3 linked regions of the Schizosaccharomyces pombe genome follow. The gene in region 2 interacts genetically with the main gene of each other region. Each region holds a gene or a part of one and is shown on either strand. Other genes may lie near its edges.

Evidence for each region.
Region 1: of sep1 (region 2) and ace2, changing one enhances a phenotype caused by changing the other (phenotypic enhancement), as found in Schizosaccharomyces pombe (one study listed by BioGRID).
Region 3: of sep1 (region 2) and spt8, changing one enhances a phenotype caused by changing the other (phenotypic enhancement), as found in Schizosaccharomyces pombe (one study listed by BioGRID).

What each region holds. Positions count from the first base shown.
Region 1 is NC_003424.3:3,237,014-3,243,815, forward strand, and holds ace2 (DNA-binding transcription factor Ace2), read right to left. Parts: upstream 4,141-6,802; 5' UTR 3,955-4,140; coding exon 2,353-3,954; 3' UTR 2,219-2,352; downstream 1-2,218. Other genes in the region: ubi3 (ubiquitin-40S ribosomal protein S31 fusion protein), read right to left, coding at 897-1,349; SPOM_SPAC6G9.01C (uncharacterized protein), read right to left, coding at 4,550-4,557, 4,642-4,740, 5,139-5,319; RNA-binding protein Nop9, read right to left, coding at 6,245-6,802. UniProt on the Schizosaccharomyces pombe protein: Regulates the transcription of genes required for cell separation.
Region 2 is NC_003423.3:3,132,720-3,140,638, forward strand, and holds sep1 (DNA-binding forkhead transcription factor Sep1), read right to left. Parts: upstream 3,386-7,919; 5' UTR 2,768-3,385; coding exon 776-2,767; 3' UTR 501-775; downstream 1-500. Other genes in the region: DNA-directed RNA polymerase I complex large subunit Nuc1, read left to right, coding at 1-249; dss4 (guanyl-nucleotide exchange factor), read left to right, coding at 4,887-5,189; thr1 (homoserine kinase), read right to left, coding at 5,832-6,848. UniProt on the Schizosaccharomyces pombe protein: Required for promoter sequence element PCB-driven, M-phase-specific transcription. Acts as a transcriptional activator with a role in the regulation of mitosis. Regulates septation and the periodic transcription of cdc15.
Region 3 is NC_003423.3:2,231,221-2,238,250, reverse strand, and holds spt8 (SAGA complex subunit Spt8), read left to right. Parts: upstream 1-2,472; 5' UTR 2,473-2,540; coding exon 2,541-2,595; intron 2,596-2,642; coding exon 2,643-4,168; 3' UTR 4,169-4,790; downstream 4,791-7,030. Other genes in the region: TPR repeat-containing protein Oca3, read left to right, coding at 613-783, 857-1,000, 1,064-1,209, 1,261-1,459, 1,537-1,725; bot1 (mitochondrial ribosomal protein subunit S45), read left to right, coding at 5,140-6,087; SPOM_SPBC14C8.15 (triglyceride lipase-cholesterol esterase), read right to left, coding at 6,469-6,645, 6,709-7,030. UniProt on the Schizosaccharomyces pombe protein: Component of the transcription coactivator SAGA complex. SAGA acts as a general cofactor required for essentially all RNA polymerase II transcription. At the promoters, SAGA is required for transcription pre-initiation complex (PIC) recruitment.

The sequences.
Region 1 (6,802 bases), on a different chromosome or scaffold from region 2:
CTAGTTAATTATTGTAACGATAGACGTTAAGCAAGAAGTAAACGGATTCAGACGAAAAATCGCAAAATGTTTGAATTAAAAACTGCGCTACCAGTGTCTGATTGAATTAACTTAATAATAAAAATAATTGAGTGGTAAATAACTGTTTTTGAAATATTGGGTCGTTTAAATCAAAGTTTTTAAGTTGGGGTGGAATATTGATTTTTTTTTTCTTAACAATAGCTCTAAATTTGATTTCAAAGATTAAATAAATATCAAAATTAACCAGTTTAAACAGACTTTTTTACTCCTAGGTTGTAGTCGCGTCTGCGTGCTATTAAAATGTTAATAATTCGTAGTATATCCAATGAAATAACGATGGTTTAAAATTCGCTAAATGGAAAGCAGATAGTACTAACCAAGGCTTTCAATTCAATGAAGAGCCTTTTTTGTTACTCTCGTTCAAAGATATAGAATATTTTTTTTTTTTTAATATAAAGGCTAATTTTTCGTTTTAACATAGTTGCATGCAAAAGAAATTTATTTAGATATTGGTTGGAATGATTTTTCGACGACCAAAAAGTATTCGCATGCTACTTGTATGTAAAAGTTAGGTTGTATTAATCGTAACGACTACACATGAATTTGAAGAAATCTTCTTTCATTCTCTAATTCTGAAAAAAAGTGAATTGAGCAAAATAGTACTCCACGAGTTGCTAATGTGCTCAGGTACTATTCAAAACGATCACTGAACCAAGTGATGAATCTATACTCATTTTGAACAATTTATAGTCTCATGCATCTACTTATAAAATTATTTTTAAAAGTTTTACAGCTTATTTCAATCTTAATATTCTACAATTACTGCTCATGATGATATGTCTAGACCACAGTAGAAAATACTATTTCATTCAAGTTTAGTTTTCCAACTTAAGAGTCAAATGGCATCTACCACAGTAAAGGCGGTCCTTGTGGTTGGCCATGAAGGTGGACGCACCACAGTTGGGACACTCACGACGAAGACGCTTAACGCTTCCATCATCCTCAACCTTGTAGTATTTGAGGACGGCGAGCTCAACCTTCTTGTGCTTGTGCTTGATCTTCTTGGGAGTAGTGTAAGTCTTCTTTTTACGCTTCTTACCACCACCACGAAGACGCAAAACGAGGTGAAGAGTGGACTCCTTTTGGATGTTATAATCAGACAAAGTACGTCCGTCCTCGAGTTGCTTGCCAGCAAAGATCAAACGTTGTTGATCAGGAGGAATTCCTTCCTTATCTTGGATTTTGCTCTTGACATTGTCAATAGTGTCAGAGGATTCAACCTCAAGGGTAATGGTCTTACCCGTAAGGGTTTTTACAAAGATCTGCATCGTCAGCAAAGTATTGCCTCTTCCTCGCGGATGGAGGAAAATATTGATGTTGCATTGTGATATATGGATGCGTGACTGGTTTTAACTCACGTAGGTTAGGGTGTAACGCAAGTTTCTCGTACTGAGAATTAACGTTTGCGTTAATTATATAACACAATTTAACATTTCTCACAATTTTTAAAATCGTAATGCTGAAATGAAAATCCTGATTCCCTTGTATTAATATCGACAGTTTGTCACTAATTGATGTCAATTATATCCTATTGAATGATTCATATATGGTGATTTAGTGTAGTAAAGGCTTGTAAACCTGTGATTTTGTGTTTGCATAAGCTACGACGAGTTTTCGTATTTTTTGGTTCTTTGCAAATAGAAATGAATTATCTTTTCTCTTGCCGACAAAATTTCCTCCAATGACCAGCAATAATAGTTAAAACAATCATTGGTTTCTCTGTTTAAGTCATAGTGATTAATTTGTTGAATTATTATTATCATAATAAATGCTTGCTTGGCAGCATACTACAACCACTGTTTTCCAATGAAATACTTCGCATACTATAGTAATTAAATACAAGTTTTCCCTAGAAATACCAACTTAAACATATGTTGACTAAACATCGGTGCGAGTGAAAGCAAACACTAATTCTTACTCATGTATCCAAGTTGTTTGTCAGGTTTGGGGAAACTAGTTTTACCATTTCAGCCGTTCAACGATACGAACAACTTCATAGTTGTATTTCCATTTCACAAAGATTAATCTGTAGATTTTAGATGATGCAGAGTTATACACAATACTAGGGTGATGAATAAATATACAAAAGACAGATACAAGTTGATAAATTATCAAAATTGTCACAGCATTAGTTCATGTACGATGCTTGAATTTGAATTTATATAAAAGCAAATTAAAAACAATAATATTAGTAAAATTAAAAAATCCCAAAAAAAAACCAAACATAACTCATTATAATGCAATGCGATGCAAGTTGTACAGCTGTCATCATTAGTGCTGTCTGCGATCTACGCCGCCAACACATATATTTCTCTGCTTATGCCGATTTAAGGCATCAAGTCGGTTAAATCTCTTTAAGCATTCACATACATATGGCCTGCCATTTTCGTGAATCCTCAGATGACGCTTAAGATCGTGGTGACGAACAAAGCCAGCTTTGCATAAGTCACAGCGATACGGACGGTCGCTCAGATGTGTTTGAATATGCGATTCAACATTATATTTGCGAGCAATACGTTTATTGCACCCGTTGTACAAACAGACGTACTTTCCATCTGCTTCAGGGCCGCAATATAAGCTAGCCATTGTCTCCGGAGGAATTCTACAAATCCTAGTTGATTGCTTGCGAGTTTTGCATCTATGATCGTATGAAATTCTGACCGGAGGTTTGGAATCATGCTCGGTGACTTGAGGAGTAATTGATAAATCAGCAGATTCAATTTTTGGAGCTAATTGTTCTTCTTCCTTGACAGTGATACAAGGTTCAGGTTTCTTGGTAACTATGCAAGATTCATAAGGTGCACTTAATGCAAACTGCTGTGTCAAAGTGTTGTTGATATTTGCGTTCGATATGTCAAGTCCATGATCGCAAACGGATGAGAATTTTTCAAATTCAGAAACGTATTCAGCAGGTGATGATAACTTTGCAAACGCTTTCTGGTTGTCAGTATGCCTGCATACATCCAAATGGGAAAACGAAGAATCTAGAGCAAAGGAGGGCTTTTGAGGCGAAGTGGGCTCTAGCTTTACAAGTTGGGCAAATGGGGATACAGGGGAGATATTAGGTGCAGTCTCTGGACTCGATAAGTCTACAGGATGTGCCGGACTTGGTTGGGATATTTGAAAGTTCAATTCTTCAAATGAAGGCGCACCGTTTATCTCATCTAATCCAGGGGGAGAGGATGGGAGGAACATAAACTCATTAAATGATTCCAATTGCGAAGAGCTGGGAAGAACGGAAGAGGCAGGACCCGAGGTTTCAGGTATACTTGAGGAAAGGTAGTCGAAATTTTCGAGGTGATCTTTGTTGGAGCAAGTTTCCGTCTTTATTTCTGGTATGTCAAACTCAGGAAACGAAAGGACTTGTTGTTGAGAGTCCAGCTCATCAATCCAATTTGATGCATCATAACCAATTTCGGAAAAGGCCTGTTGAGAGTTGGTCAAGGAAAATGCGTCATTGTTATTAAAATTTTGCTCGGTATGGATTTGTGATACGCAAGTTAAAGGCGAGGAAGGGGGTGATAAGGAAGCATCAAAGGAGGATGCATACGAGTGAGAGTCGGGGAGCGATATTTGGTTCGATAAAAAGTATGCAGAATTCGCTTCCAACAAAGGGTTAAACGGTGTTTTTAGAACAGAACTATAGTCAAACTGATCTTGAAAGTTCTGAAGATGAGAAGGCGGTGAAGGGATAACAGCTTGATTTAAAGACACCTCATTTTCAAAGGGAGCGAAGGAGGAAAAAGAAGTATGCTTGCTATCGCCAAAAGTTTCATAATCCCTTTGGTACGAATGATTACAAGCTGGACTCTCTTCTTGTCGAAATGATTCAAACGACTTTTGCGAAGAAGATGATAAATATGAAAGCGACATTGTCTTGTTTACTTAGGATAGCGAGTATCTAGTGCAATGCGTAGAGAAATCAAGGAGAGAACGATGAGAGAAATGACTCTTGAAAAGAGTGCTTGATAACTTGAAGTGAGATGAAAGTGTGGCTCAAAGCCAGTCTAACCCAGTAGATGATTGAACTAATCACTCTTCGATTTTTTTTTGTTTGTTACAGCAATGTTTGGTGCGCTGGCTATTTGTTTATATCAAATAGCTACTCCGTTGCTATGACGACAATTGTTGAATTTTATGCTTCACTTTACCGCAAAACAAGTCACTATTTGTTTACATTGCATGGATTACCGAACCATATCACAACAACGCAATACAAGTGTAAACACAGACCCAGGGATTGTTTATTTACCTTTTGTTGCCAAAGGGACAAATCAACTATTTTTTGAATTAAACCAGTAAAAGGTTTGATTGAAAGACACTACCACTAATAAACAGGATAATCACGGCTATGAAAATGTCTACGCTTCAACAACTGGATCATGGATGATATTAGAAAACATAGATTAAGTATGACAAGCCAAAAAAAAACGGTAACCAACCTGAAAAAACGACAACGACGTTGAGATCAAAAACCTTAAGGTATTAGTATTAGTATAGAGCTAGCAAGAGAAAAAATGCCATGGAAAAGTTTTTAAATGCAATGAATAAGTTACTTACAACACTGACAATCAAAAGGGCAATCCGGTGTACCTCCACCTTGGCCAATGTTTAATTCCTCCTCGTCATATACAAGAAACCCTTCCTCGGTACGCTTTCCTAAAACACAAAACGTTAATACAATTACTGATGATAAGGAGAAAAGTGCCGTTGCTAGGTAAGTATTGCATCGTTCGGCAAACATTCCCGTAAACAGAATAGCGAATAAGGTTCAATACCACACAATAGAGCTTAATGATTTGGAGTCTCCACCAACACTAAACATCATTGTGAAATGTATCTCCCTAGAAAAACGTAATCTAGCTCTAGCAGTATATAATAAATAAATAAGTATATAGCACAGTTCGAAGTTTCTCAATCTTTTAGACAATAAATATGAATTTGAGGTCAAAGAATTGACAAACAACGCGGATGCCAAACATGAACGAATGCAATCATTAACCAAGTAGCGAGAACGTATGTAAGGATGAACTATCAAACGGCAAAAAGTGTCTTACTTCCTGAGGCTCCCTTTGGATCTAAAAATAAATCGTCTTGGTTATTAGTAGGTTTTGGACGACTTGGAGTAGATTTTGTCTTGGCTCCTTTCTTAGGGGCTTTCGCCTCCGACTTTGAGTCATTTGACTTTTCATTTGCAGGGTTTGCCTTTTTAGAAGCAAAAATGTCGTCGATTTCCATCTTTTAAATACTCGTAGAGAGGAGTTTGCCAAGTCAATGGCAATTGTATAATTGAGTAGAGAGACAGTTTGTTGTAGCTTGCAAACTTGCTAGAAATTCTTTTGCGGTACCGTGCTTCATAAAATAAGAATTCTCTAAAATGCTTAAATCTGCATAACGTATTCTCTCGTATTACGGTAAAGAATTTGTAATATTTATAAGAATGATTCTTCAGAAGAAACTTGTACCAGCATTAAGGCATGAGATTGATCGATTCCTTTTTTTTCCTTTGGTTCTTTATTATGTTTAAAATTGTTTAATTTTGTTTAGAAGCTGTATCACCTCTGTCATCGGTATTTCGAAACGGCAATAAAATGTAGACAATTCTTTGGCCAAGCTTTCTTTATAAAAGCATATTTAGGTCAACTCTATCCTAATACCATAAATTAACACTTTTTGTCTTCATTTAAGAAGCGAATTATTGCTGTATCAAATTAACAAATGCAAAATCTCATTGCTTAATAAACGAAATACTTTAGTAATTAAGCATAAGATAAAAATAAAGTGAATACTATTTGACAATGAAAATCAGCTCAAAACCTCTGTCAATTCTTTTTCAGCCTAGAAACCACCTTAGAGAAATAAGGCAAAACATTTGAATACAAATATACAAAACACAAATTATTAGTGGTAGAACAATTCAAAAAATTCGAAACCTCTTCTTCAGTTGATCAATTCATAATTAGAAATACAATTCCTTTTACAAAGTTTACTTCCTTACTCTGCAAAAGCGCCTCTATACATAGCAAACCGCAACAAAATTAAATACCTATATTACCTAAATTAAAAACATAACTTTTTTTTGACCAACAAAATGCCATGCTTAAATTGGCGAGACGTAAAAATGCCGTGCATTTCAATTTAACCAATGGAAACCTTTTCTCCTTCAGACTTTCACTCTTTTAGGACCGGACTCAAGCTCTTCATCATTTTCAGTGCTGCGCTTCTCCCCCAAAGGCTGAGTATTGGCTGAACTGCCAGAAACAATACGACCATACTGGCGTGCACGTTCATGAACACGCTTAGATGGTTCATCCTGTTTCATGAAACGATACCATTCATCAGGAGCTCGACGAAAAAGCTCGACCTTCCAGTTTGAGCAAACTTTTTTGCCATAGAAATCAAATTTGACGTCGTCACCACCTTCAGCCAACTCACGAACAATTCTTGTACGATAAAGCGGCAATGCCCTTGTGGCCTTCCACGCTTTATCTACAATATGCGAACCAGGAGCAGAAACAGCTAATGTAGCAAATGATCCGGAAAGGATATTGAGAAATTTTTTAAGAAATACCGGGTTTAAGTCTGATAAATCAAGAATTCCTTCTATCAAGTGAGAGGATACTGTTTCCAGACAATATTCCAAAATCTGCTCTTTTGAGAGATCTAAAACGCTATCTAATAATAACTGAATATGTTGTTTCTCACAGTGAAGCATTTCTTC
Region 2 (7,919 bases):
ATTGCAGATTATATGACTTTCGAGGGAGGATACAAAGCCTTCAATAGAATGGGAATAGAATATAACACTTCTCCATTTGCGAAAATGTCTTTTGAGACCACTTGTCACTTTTTGACTGAGGCCGCCCTCCGTGGTGATGTTGATGACTTATCCAATCCTTCATCTCGGTTAGTCGTTGGTCGAGTCGGTAACTTTGGCACCGGTTCTTTTGACATATTCACCCCTGTAGTCGATTCTCCTGCAAACTAAAAAAGGTATATTTATTGCGGTTGGGGAATAATTTTAGAAAAATGTGTGTTTTGACAAAATAAAAGATTTTGGAAATTAAACCTTTATTGGCTACTTGTTACAAAAATATATAAAATAAATAAATTGGGTTTTGGAACTAATACTTGTCATATAAGTTTTAGATAGGTTACCACAAATAAAATTACGTTTAATCTACAACTCTTACATAACACAAGAGATAAACTTCTAAACGCTATAAGCGTATACTATGTTTACGAAATATTCATAAAGCTTTATATTGCTAATGTGACTATTAGATATGCAACTGGGAGAACAATTCGCCGGATATAAATTAAAAGCTTTCGTAAATTTAAAAAAATTGCGCACGCAAATGAACAAGTAACATCGGGGGTTTGAAAGTTTATTAAGCAACCAAGGTAAAAGATATGTGTAAAATTAGGAATTCCCATAGCAGTCTTTAACTAGAACGAAGAAATATCACATTAAATAAAGCATGGATAAAAAGTAGATAAGTGCTAAAACAAATTTAGAATAGTGTTGAAGTTTGACGAAGAAGTGGCATTTTCCTCTTGGTAGGAGAAGGCAAGTAAGTATCATCTTGCGCGGCTGAAGAATGAATAGTAGTTGCTGAAGAAATATATTTTCTACGCACCTCACGTTTAACAGGAGACACTTTTCGATTGCTATTAAAGTCGGAAAAGTGATTTTCAAAACTCAACATATCCATGGGATCCAAAAAATCATCTTCAAAGGTATCAAACGACTTGCTCATGGGTAGCTTGCTTGGTGTTTCTAAGCCGGCAACGGAACTAATGTTATTGGTAAAATAAGATAATGATCCTCCATCAAGTAAGCTATCACCTTTAGGACTTTCAGATAGCGTTACTTGTTTAGATGCATCTCCATTACGTAGAATTGAAGACTTCAAAGGCGTGACTGACCAAAACTCTGCATCAGATGATGTTAAAGATGATAATTGCTTTGCATCAGGTGTAGCCAGCATTTGCAAGATACGAGTTCGATGCTCCTTCAAATTTGTATTCGGACTTGCTGAGATACCACTCATATCAGAACGGATGGGTGAAAGTAAAGAAAACTTAGTGTAGTCATCAGCCACGATGTCATCACGAAAGCAAAACAATTTAGGACACAAGGCCTTCGGGGGGGTTGGAAAATCAATAGAATTTGATCGCTTTAGCAAAAGTCCACTGGGATTTTTTATGGTAGGCGAGCTAGGTAAAGAAGGTAAACGGACTGCAGGGATCTGTAGGGTATTAGTTGTACCATCTTTTAAACCTTTCTTGCCGAGATTCGTTACAGTGTCATTAAAACCCAACACGGAATCATGAACTGAAGGGGTTTCAACATCCTTCTCCAAATGTGATACAGGTGGACCTTCTACTGGTGCATCATCTTTATTCAAACCCAATGATTTAGCTGACTTTATTCCCAAAGATTCATTCCTAAGTGATTCAGATGGAGAAGCACTGGATGCTGGTGATGACAAAGGAGGAGATGGAGAATTTGTACATGATTGTAAAGGAGAAGTTACAGATACGACAGAGGAAACACCCAAATCGGAAAACTTAGCTTCCAAATCAGAAGGTGCATCGATACCAGGGGTATCTACATAGGGTTGTTGACTATGAAGAGGATGAAAATTTGTGGCATTAACATTAGAGATCGTCGGAATGTTCGTTAAGGATGCAGTATAATAATTCTGAAGATATTGATGTCGCTGATTAAATATATGGGGAGAAGTATTAAACGTGTTAAATCCAGAGGAACCGGTAGAAGATCCATATTTTGTAGAGGAGGTAACGTCTTGAACAGGAGGCGCTGGTCTTGAATTTACTCCTGGTTTACGCAGCTTTAGTTTTAGAAATTGTTCTTCATGACCAGGACGAATGCTCCAAAAATGACCCTTCCCCGGTAAATTTCTAGGACGTTCAATTTTCATGAATGCCTTATTTAGACTTAAATTATGGCGGATGGAATTTTGCCAACCGTTATTGGACTTATTATAGAAAGAAAAAGTATTGCTGATCCAATCATATATAGCACTTAAAGTGAGACGACGATCGGGAGAACGGATTATTGACATTCCAATTAACATAGCATAGGAATAAGGAGGTTTCTTTCCATCATCTAGGGGTAAGAAAAACTCCTCCGGTTCTTGAGACTGAGAAGAAGATACAGAAGGGTTTCGATATATAATAGTATCCAAAGATTGCTCCGAAGGAGGAGGTATGGGAAGAGGAGGAACAGAATAAGTCAATCTAGTATAAGAAGGTATATATGGTCGAGTGGCTTTTGAAGAAGGTTTTTGAAAAGATGCAATGTTATTTTCTTTTCCGCCTGCAACTACGCCCTTCAACTTTGAAGCAACCTTGGGATAAGGTGGTAAAGATTGCAAAGGAATTTCCTGATAAGCAATTGGGAGTTCAGAGTACTTAGAAGCATTGTTAAGGTTTTTTTCATGAGTAAAATAATAAGGGTTAGTAGAATTAAAATTCATGAGGAAGATGTTCAGACAAATTGAATAATAAAACAAAAATTAAAGCACCGTTAGATAATGGCAATGCCAATAATAATAATGATTAAAAGAGAAAACCAATTAAGGGAAAATAATAGTAATAGTGAATACTACTATACTCCGGACTTACACAAACATAGATTGTCAGTATGCGGACCAAAAAGAATGAAGTATTTTGCAAAATTCAAAGATTTGAAAAGAATTAATAATAATAGTACTCAAAGGACAAAAAAAAAATTGTCCGACCTTGGATTCTCGCACTAGTGTTACGACAAGGCACGATTCCGAAGCACAAAAAAAAGAAAGAAAGAAAGTGTGGTGCTCTAAATTCACAATCCTTTACAACCAAAAATAAAGTCTTAAGTCTAAGACAGAAATAATTATAGAAATAGGTATTACAGTATAGGAAGCAAAAGATACAAACTCAATACTGGATGCTGTCAGAAACGAGAGAAATGCACAACGAGATACTAATATTGCATAAAAATATTAAGATTTGTAATAGTGATACACAATCGTGTCAAATATCCTTTCGTATCAAATGCTCCGAATTGCTCCAATTTTGGACGTTTGCCAAAATATGAGTGTACGAGATGAGATAGAAATCTCCACCTCGTGAAAGCGGATCCTCTATTTTAGTGACAATATGTCATAGAGCCGAAAAATCGATTACGATGTTGGGTTGTGAGTATTTTACTAACAGTAATAAGGGTATACGTTATGATACGTTAAGCTGCCAATTATCCTCCTTCATTAAGTATGCCCTTAATTTGACACATTTCTGGTTCCATAGTATTAACCATACAGTAAAACGTTGTTTTATTTTTTGAGGTCCTATAATTAGAAATTTAAATGAAATGAGGCACTAGTTTCAGTTATGAAATATTTTTTTAGTGAATAGCTATAATATTATCTTCATACTAAAATATTTAATAACGTCGGATGTTCATGCAACTTAAATATTGCTATAAAGAGAGTATAAGTTGAAGTTGAGCTTAGTCTAATCATATCAGTTAGTGGTTGACAAATTTTAGGTGATTAATACATTTGGTTAAGAATCAATAGCATGCGTTATATTTTTTGTATTATTTCAACAATAACAATAACGATGATTGATAAATTGACTTGGCTTAGAAACTCATTTAGTTAATAAAATAATAATATTTCAATATTTGGAAGCTAATAATATTCTTTGTCACATAACTGAATCGAGAAGTTCACGGAGCTAATCAAGAATACTTCTTTTTATTAAGGATTTAGACAAAGTAATCATAGTAGCAATAATTCGAGCAAAAATAGCGTAGTTCTATAGATTTCAATTAAAATATTAGACAATTGAAGGGATGGCACACGATTCCTACACATTTACATTGAAAATTGCAAGTGCCAAGCTAATTTCCCAATTTTGCAGTCTGCACACATTCAAAGTTTGATTACAATATTTCTTTCAATGCCGTACTTCTAAAATTTTAGTTACTAGAAGAAAGTTCAAAAACCACTGTGTACAAAGTTTTAGTATGTGTCAAGGTTGCAACACGGAAAGCAAATTGAGTAGAAAGAAAAAGGTTCTGTATTTAACATAGAAGGATAGAAGAATTATGTGTCCGAATTTCTAAATTTGAAAATAACTACTATATGAACCAATGCATCAGGCGAACTGATATGTCTCGTTTAACATTAAGAGAAAGACAATATTCAAGAACACATTAGACGAGCAAATAAAAATTTTTTGCGTTTTCTTTTATAATAACTTACTAATTATGTGGTGAAGTTTAAATATAGTGAAAACCAGGCCATGTTAATTTATGAAACCAAATAGCATGTCAAAAAAAAAGAAGTTTTCAGCGTCTAATTATTGATTTGCTTCTATCGTCAAAATGCAAAACATTGTTTTCCATATCTTCATTGCACTAGACACGTCAGTACCTATTTTGGAAATGAATGCTACATGTATTGAATTAAATTTGAAGAACTTGTAATTAGCATTTAAACTTTTAAAAGTTTTCTCTTGTATTTTTATTTTTTTAATAGGTTATATCCACAAAAAACGCTGATTGGCGCTTACTACTAACTAACTACCACCATATTGTTTTCCTAAATTATGTCGAATTTGCGAATTGTTTGTCAACATTGCCCTTCAGTCGTATTTAATAACAAACGTCCAGATGTTGTTAAGAGGCCAACAATGTCAGCTATGCTGCATTCTGAAACACAAGAAGATCTAGAAACTGACGATTTTTTTCTTCTAAAAGATCCGTTTGCTTTCGACAACGTTAGCGTATCAAAACCCTTAGCAAATAATTATAAATTACTTGCTTGTGCTGATTGTGAAAAAGGTCCGTTGGGCTACTATGATTCTAAGAACAATGAATATTTATTGCTGTGCTCATTGGAGAAAAACTAAGCTTAATAATAAGTTTATCAAACAACTGTGCTATTTATCTTGGTTATAGCATATTTTTGTAAACGTTACTTATTTGATATGGAATGGTCTTTTCCATGTGTCTTTTTATTCTTTATATTTTTTTAGAAGACTTGCAACATGGCCTTACAAAAGACAGGTATGTTGTGGTTTCATATTGAATAGTAACCACGAAATTAGGTATATTTAAATGGAATTATAATGTTTGTTTCTTATTAAAAAGTTCTTTTGTAGCTTACACCTTTGTTGTGATTAGATTTTAATCTTATCGGGTATTAAATGAAATTAACCTTGACTAAACAAAATATACCTTACGATTAAACCAATGTTTTTTTAGCACTAATTTAAAATTTGAAGAAAGCACAGTGAATGTGTTGTACATATAATCAGCTTTTGTCTTCGTAATTACCGATAGATATAAATCGGACAAGAGATATAATCTAAGAGCATAAAATTTTATAACTGTATCTATATTTTATTCAAAAAAGAAAAAACCAAAAAAAACCGTGATATTAAATAAAAAAAAGGAATGATAATTATATGGTATAATTGGAATCCCAAATACATGTAAATGCTTCATTCACGTGTTAATATACGGCAACGCATTATTCATAGTTATCCAATTCAAAAGTATTTGACTGTTGCACCGTCAAATGCAGGTGAAAGAACTAAATATCTACACTTGACACCGTGTTTTTCAAAAATGCTAAGCATTGCATGGGCAATTTCGTCGAAATTTCCGGTTGCTAGTGCAAGAACGGTAGGACCAGCACCAGAAAGACAAATGCCGCACAAACCAGGTTGAGTGTCAGGGTTAAGAGTTGCAAGAATGTTCTGCAAGCCTGGGATCAACGAAGCACGATATGGTTGGTGAACTTTATCCTTCATCACTTCATAAACTAAATGAGGATTTATGGGAGTTTGGCCTAACGCAGTTGTGAGCAAAGCCAAGCGTTGCAAATTATAAACCACATCAGTTCTACCATAAGAAGTAGGAAGCACACTCCGTGCTTTAGAAGTTGCTAAATGGAATTCAGGGATTACGACAATTGCCTTTAATTCAGAAGCCCATGGAAGCCTGGCAAAAGTACCTAAAGACTTGGGAGGTAAAGTTAAGGCTTCGTTTTTCAATAAATCATCAGCAGATGGAGAAAATGCATTCTTTTCTTCCTCAGATAGTTCTCTGAGAAATGAACCTACGAATCCACCCATCATGGACGCCATTACATTGTCTGGGTGTCTTTCTATCATTAGAACATAATCCATCATTTGCAGTTTGGATAGACCAAGTTTTGCAATCTCGTTTGCAAGCATAACACCTGCAATGGCAGCCGATCCACTAGATCCCATACCACGACCGAGAGGAATGGGATTTATAACGTGTATTTTGGTAGCATAGGGAAATGTAGAAATGTTGTTGCAACGTAAGACATATAAAGAGGTTTGTGTTATCATGTTTTTCTGGACATCCAAGGAAACGTGTTCCTTACCGTCTCCTTCATATGTCAAGACACAAGGTCCGCTTTCTGTGGATACTTCCACATCAAGGGTCATGTATTCCTCAAGAGACATTCCCAAGACATCGAAACCAGGTCCAATGTTAGCGGACGAAGCTGGAACTTTTATTTGAAATTTCTGCATTCTCACAAAAAAAGCAAACACCACAAAAGAAATGAGTTTGTTTTAATAAAAATTAAATATATATATATATATATCTGTTAAATAGTAAAAAATAATGAACGGTTTGACTTGAAGAAAACCGACTCTATAATCGTACGGCTTGCTAGAAGCAGGAACAAGTTGAAAGATCGCTTTAATATGCACGAAATATTTTAAAAACAAGGAAAAAGAGAAATGCAAAAATTACGAAAATAATATAACCGCGAACCGATAATTTTCAAAATATTTCCAGATCAAAAAAATAATAAGTATCTATTCCCAACAATCAAATTGCTCGTAATTAAAAAGTAAAAACAATAAAAAAGAAAGGTTGATAATTTGAAGGAAATGAAAAACCCAAAAAAGCCTCGCTTTCTATGAAGATATAGGCAAAGAATAGTTTTCGCTGCCAGAAAGTTGCAATGTTTACTACCTTTAATTCCCGATTTAACACGACAAAATCACCGGACACACTCAATAAAAAGTTAAATTGTGCGCAATCAAATTGCTAACAAGAGTGTTATCGTGCGCTGAAAATGCTGTGAAAAAGGTAAAATTTGATGTTGGTAAAGATTTCGTGCACATCGGGAATCCCCATAAGCGAACCCCTAACTCGAATACGAAATTACGCACTCGAATGCCTAATCTATTAAGTTGATTTTGATTTGAAAAGTGTCATGTTACCCGCACTTTTTCGCAAAACCAACTTGAAATCCGGAAAACTGGAACAAAATGCAGTTTGCAGTTATATATTATCTATATATGTTATATAAGAGAAATTTTTTTTTCGCCAATTTTATTCTAATGAACTACCAACACAAGTTCTGTAATATAACGAATTGTGCTCGCATCTGGAATGTTTAATTAAAGAAAATTAACGCAACACTAAGTACTTTATAGAATCGGAGCATATTGAAACGATGCAGCGATATTGTACATTACAAAGATAACAGTCAAGATTTTCTCTTAAGCAGAAATTGCACGAATGGAGTCTAGCAAGTACCAAGCGCGTGCTAATTAAAAAAGCCGTTTTTGAGCTTCTTCTTATTATAG
Region 3 (7,030 bases), 900 kb from region 2:
TAATCCTTTCGTCCTAATATGGCCGTTTCAAAGATTGGGTTTATATCTGGGATTTAGAAGAATTTAAAATTGAAGCATTAATATTTTGTTATAACAATGTCAATAGTTGTCAGTTTCAAAAGAACTATAAATGTCACTTGAAAATGAATATCAGTCAACATACTGACATTTCCAGAGATTGAAGAGAGTACCCATTGTAAAATTTTGCTTTCATTTTAATTAAGAAAATCTAAATAAAATAGATAGGGATTTATTCCTTTGTAGTCTAATATTACAAAATTTAACTCAATCATGCAAAAAACAATATTACTCATTGTAAAGTTGATTCGCTACCGTTCGTATTCAGTAAAAAAGAATTTGTAGATGAAATAAACTTTAATTCAAAAAATAAAAATCAACACTTAAAAAATGTGAAAGCTGCAAATAGCAAATCTACTAGCTGTTCAAAACGCACTCATCGCCTATCACTATAAAACCCTAGTTTTGCGCTGGGACTTGAATATTGGGTATTTGGATAATTACCTTATTGATTGATATTTCATAAAGCAGAAATTAATTGAGTCTTTTCTGAATATTCATAACTTTTCGTTTTACGGAAATCTGGAGTTCAAAATGTCCAATAGTATTCTTAAAGTTCCTGATCAGAACCCTCAGGAGATAGTTGCGCTTTTTTCGCAACAGGAAGCATATGCAAAGCTTGGTAAATACAAAGATGAGATTTGGGATGTCTATCAGAAGGTGTTTATTGCAGCTTTGACTACAGGCGAAACAGTTTTAGCAAAAGTAAGGATTTCTTCATTCAACGAAGTCTCGATTGCCCTTTATATAGCACTATTAACTTAATTTTTTAATTTAGAAATGCTGGAATCGTTTAAATGATAGATTTCATAAATCTCCTAGGGTAGAAGGACTTTACGGCATGTTCTTGGAAGCTACAGCCAGCGAGAAAGATGCAATGAGTTATTACAATTCTAAGCTTTCAGAAGATCCAACTCATACGGTAAGATTACATGCCTTGGCTTATACTATATCAATTCGCTGCTATCTAAGCTAACTTCATCAGGTCATCTACAAACGAAAATTGGCTTTATTGCGTTCTATGGGACAAACGAAAGAATGTATTCAAGGACTCATTAATTATCTTGATACTTTTTATAATGACTTGGAGGCATGGGCAGAACTTGCCGATATATACGTGTCAGTGGAAGCGTAAGTCATAAAGAATTTCTGTTTATCTCTGAATTCTAATTGATTGTATAGGTTTGAAAGTGCTATATTTTGTTATGAAGAAATGGTGTTGCTTCAGCCTTTCGAGCCTCGACTTTTTGCTCGATTGGGAGATTTATATTTTGTTTTGGCTCAAAGTAATGCAACTAACTATTGGTTTTCGTTGAAGCATTATTGTCGCTCGGTTGAAATTTGCGAAGAGTATTTCCATGGTTGGTTCGGAATCTCAAAGGTAATTTATCCCTGCTTTTAACTTTATTTATTATTTCTTTGAATATAACAGGAATTTAATGATTAACAATTTAATAGTGTTGCCAACAATTACTAGAGTTATCAAGAACGGAACTGAAAAGATTATTAAGCAAAGTAAATGAAAAAATTTCCGATACATTCCCTGACACTGAATCTGTACGACAGCTCTATCAACTATCTTTAAAAAAGTCGGATCTCTTCGCTCAAAAGCAACCTAAGTTGAAGGCTTTATTGGAGCAATGCTAGAAGGGTATAGAATATGTGGTGTTTGTTTCTTTAGTTTTAACCAAAGTATTTGTTACTGGAAATTTACTCGATCTAATATAATAATTTGTGAAACTTGTTTATATCTTCTTCTTAATTGTAGAACTATGTGCGCGAAATTCTCGGTTTATCTTTTTGTCCTGAATTCTTTCGCCGTAAACTTTTATATAAACTTAAAGCCTTTTAATTTTAATTATATTTTACGGTCAATTTCAATATTTCTTTAGTTAAAAGTTACTAAATTTTTGACTGCTTGCAAGCCCCAGAGGTTATAAGTTTAATAGATCACTTACAAGTTTGTTAAAACACATATTCTAATACTTGATTTTTCAACATACCTGCCATAAGTATCAATCTTTTTGTTGTTTCTTAGTACGGGCGACGTGAAACCATAAAAGTAGTATACTGGGTGCTACGGCGAATAACAGAAATATGTTTCCAAAGAGAAAGTGCTTCCTATTTTTTCTATGAAAGTAGATTGATTATAAAAAACAAAGTTTACCTTGTCAAACTTCCCCATTCATTTACCTAATGTTCATTGCGGAATAGTGTTTTCTCTCGCTACTTATTTATCTTAAACGAAATAAGGATCGTTTAGTTGTACTCTAATGGTAACATTCAGTGAAACTTAAGACTTTATTAAAGCTTTTTATTGAGGTATAGCGTCTACGCTAAATATATTCAACGGTCTTAAACTTATAATTCCTTTTAATATCTCAGAGGGAACGTAAACAAAACATATTGTTGCTGCATTGCAGCATTTTAAGGTTACAACTCTTTTTGTGTATATTTTAAAGATGGAAGCAGAAGAGAGTGAGTCCTTTTCATATCCAATGTTGCTACCTTCTGACGGTTCGTTTTATAAACGAGATATCACTTCTTACTGACTTCAAATCTAGGACTTTATCCAGAAGACGATGATGATGCGGATATGGATCAGGATAAAAATCCTGAAGAAAATGTAATGAACGAAAAAGAAGATGAGGATGTAGACGCGGTTGATGAGAAGTCCGGTGAAGAAGACGTGGAGATGGATACAATGGAAGATGAAAACGAAAACGATGAAGATACTGAGCAAACCTCTGAAAAGAAGGAAACTGAAGAAACACCAAAGGAAAATCCACTTGAGAAATTAAAACAAAAGGCTTCAACGGCCAGCTTTTATGATGTGGTGCCTACCCTGGCAATCCCTATGGCTACCAGCATAAACGCATTTGCTTTCACATCGGATTTAAAATGGCTTTTCACTGGTGGGGAAGACGGATATATAAGGAAGTATGATTTTTTTCCTAGCATTAATGGTGATCTCTCCCTGACTGTTGCACAGAGACATCCCTTTGTGGATACAGTAACGAAGGCTGGAATATTACTCAACTACTGGGAGAATGCTTACGATGGAAATAAACCATCTTCGGTATATAGCCTTGCAGCTCATTCCAGAGGTCTTTGGGTTCTTTCGGGCGTCAATAATGGAGATATTATACTGTACTCTACAAGACATCAAGAGGGTTATCCCGTTACTTCTTTAAAAAAGCATACGGCTCCTGTTTCGTGTTTAGCATTACATGGTTCCGAGAAAAAAGTATTGAGTGGAAGCTGGGACAAAATGGTTTATTACTGGGACCTTAACACTGGTGATGCAATATCTACATACAATTGTGAGAGTGGTCAAATTTCGAATATAGTTTATCGTCCATCAGGCGCTGTAAATCCTTGGGGTTCTGAATCGGACGACATGCGTAGTTTGTTCGGTACACCTGCGTCTTCCTCTTCTTACGATGCACTGTTTGATGAAGAGGTGGAAAAAGCCATTGAAGAAGAAACTAAATCTGTTCAAGCAAATGAGGAGAACGAGACAGAAAAACCCTCTCAAACCGAATCTACTACTAACAATGACAACATAAAAGCTCCTTCCGAATCTTCATCCGAAGAGTCCAATATTTTCTTAACGACGTCTATAGATGGAGTTATGAATGTATGGGACCATCGCATGGTCGATTCTGTTCTCAAATACCCCGTCCCCAAGGGTGTACCACCATGGGCTATGTCTGCATGTTGGAGTCCGGATGGAAATAATATATATATTGGCCGCCGAAATGGAATCGTCGAAGAATATAACATTCACTCTGGCAAGGAGCCTGTTCGCTCTTTAAAAATGCCTCTCGATTCGGGTCCTGTTTCAAATGTCTATTCGATGCCGAATGGCCGTCACCTTGTAATTTCCTCCTTTGATAATATCCGCCTTTATGATCTTCAAAGCAAGGCCGGCATAGGGTTCTTAATTATTCCAGGTCATCATGGAGGTCTTGTCAGTTCGCTTTATGTAGACACTTCTTGTCAATTCATGTTTTCAGCTAGTGGAAATCGAGGATGGCAAGGAACTACTACTGAAGTGTTCCTCGGATACCAAATAATGACTTCATAAAATGCTTTCTCTAAAACACATATTCGCAATAATGTACATTATGATAATAGACTGAAAGGAAGTGGGTTACGATTTAGTCGGTCAAATACAAAATGGTCTTTGAAAGGCACTTTGGATTTTGCCTTAGTAGGGTCAATTATATGCCTATTGTCGTTTAACTTTAAAAATCTTTTTGAATTGTCTCCCTTTCAACATTTGAAATAAACATCTCAGTTAAAGTTTTTAGAATAATTGTTAAGCCCATGCACTCTTCATTAGTTGATTGCTTTTTGGGTTTTTGGTTACTCTCTAAATAATTTGAGGTAAGTTTATAAATGTTTCCTTAAACCTATTTCCCCTTTTTTGCCGAATATAATAAACTTAGGTATTAAGCTGAGATTGTTGGTTATGAACTTTCTGACAAATATGATACACAAATCGTTTTGTTTGTATAACATGTATTCTAAAACTTTCCTCTACTTTAATTTTCAATTTGGAATTTCCTAATCAATTTAATGCCATCCATCCGCTTTATTATTTGTTGATGTGTCAATTGCCAAACAAAAATATCAAGGACATGCGAAACTCTTGTCTAAAGAAGCAATGACCGTATTTAATGAATTTTTTTCGTTTGATTCTGTAGAAATTATGACTTAAATTGTGTATTTATTTTTTAAGTATTGATGTGTATAACTGTTCGTATCCTAATATTGGAACTGACTCTCAAACATTCTATAGAATAAACAAAATCTTACTTTATTGCATACTGAGAGTTATTGTCTCATAAATAAATCAAGCGTCTGTATGTTAATCGGATCTTATAATGGAGCTAGATTGCTTGACCGCCGGAGGTTAAATTTGAGTTTTCCTAAATCGTCTCATTAATTATTGGTTTTTTGAAGTTTATTTTCTATATCTATCTTGATGAATAGAATTAGGGCGTGTTACTAACTTTTGGGGAGTGACACAAGAAACCTTTCCAACGCACCTAAATGAGGAATTCAGTGGAATTCTCACAGTTAGGGCTTAAAACGGCTTTTAATTTATCTCAAAATAAAACTTATACCTCAGCAGTCAAGAAACAATTCTTTAGTACTGGAGCATTTTTAAGCAATGGGGGAAATATTGATTTAAATAAACACACTCAAAAGAACATTGATTCAAAGTACGTTGCTTGCAACTCAAGATCTGTAACACCCCCAAATGATGTTGCTTCTTCAGTTTCTAAGAATACACTTCGTCATAAACAACGTTTAATGATGGCTCAATGGTTAATGTCTCCCGAAGTACAGAAAGCAAAGTCCTCATCATCTGGTAATGTAGGCTTGGGACCTAATACAAATCAGCCCTTCCCTTTAAACCCTTTTTTTAAGCCTCCTAGGCCTATATCTCATTCTTTGCGTATGAAAATTACCGATGAATACTTGCAGGGTGCAAGTATAGAAGTGCTTGCTCGAAAATTCAACACATCTCCACAAAGGATTGAAGCTCTTATAAAGTTGAGAAGAATAAATGATGAATTCGAAGAAAAAAAGAAGCCGATTCTTCATAGTTATAATGAAGTTATGGAGAAAATGCTGAACGCATGTACTAAACCTGAGATGATGCAGTTTAATGACGGAAACGATATTCCTTTGCGTTCCAATCCAGTATCCCTTTGGAAGAGTTTGCCTGAGGGAGAAACGTTTACACCTCAAGAGGCTGCTAAAATCCTGAAGTGGCCTTCGATTGAGGAATTAAACATGAGACAAAACGCTACTCACTTCCACAAAACATCTGATGAGCACAAAGATTTGAATGAAGATGAAGAGCTAATTTCTTCAAGCCCCAGCGAAGTTGGGAAGCGTGTTTTTAGGCTCATTGATCTTTCTACTGGTAATGTGTATAGAAGGGATACCGGCGGGGATATTTATGTTAAGAGAAAAAAATCTACTACCTGAAAATCAAGCATTTATTTCCCGTTTTTGAAAGAAAATTTACCCCCTTAGCATGCATTAGCGGCAGTACAATCCATTTCAAACTTTTGCGAAATAAAATCTTGAATTGTTACAAATTCACTCAGCAAATTCTTCTAGTTGTTGCATTATCTAAAAGTTATTTGTACATATAAAAATTGCATAGTTTTTTTTGCTTTCGTTGCCATATTGACTTTTTCAAATTAAACAAAGAAACTTTTTTTAGCCGTTTAATACAAATACTGATAAGAAGGGTTGCACATACGATGAAACAGTCTATACAACACTGTGCTTCAGTTTGATTTAGAACAGAAACTTATCTAACATATTAAATATACATTGTGCCAGTTTCAGAAGCGATGAACACTATATTGTATGGTTCATAACGCCGTCAACCAATTCTGTGTCAAGTCCAAATTCTTCTTTTATGCTTTCAAAGTAATCTCCAGCAATGACATGATTTAGTTGTTCTACGACTTGCTGAATTACTATGTCCTTTTTCGTATCTCCCATGATGATGTCGAGATGCTCATAGTTAGGAATCTTTAATTTTAACTTGTTAGTTTCCACTTAAGTAAATGAAGCTACAACTGTTTCAGAACATACCTGAATGCATTGAGATAATGGTGGAAGTTGGGTCTTGAGTGTTTCAATGTCCACCATGTTATCGTTACTGCCATAAACTAAAGTAATAGGTAGACGTATATTTTCAATCGGATAGCGAGCAATTCGGTTAAGATTTGTATAGTAACTTGGCTTAAATCCTGGACTGTCATCGTACATTTGTAATACTTTGCGACGCGTAATTTGAGCCCAATGTACAAAGCATTTGACAGAAGTAAAGGAATATAGATGGGAGTATGCAACGATTTTCTGAGTTTCGGAAATATTTTTTCCGGTCCAGCTCAGAAAAAAGCGAAGAAACAGA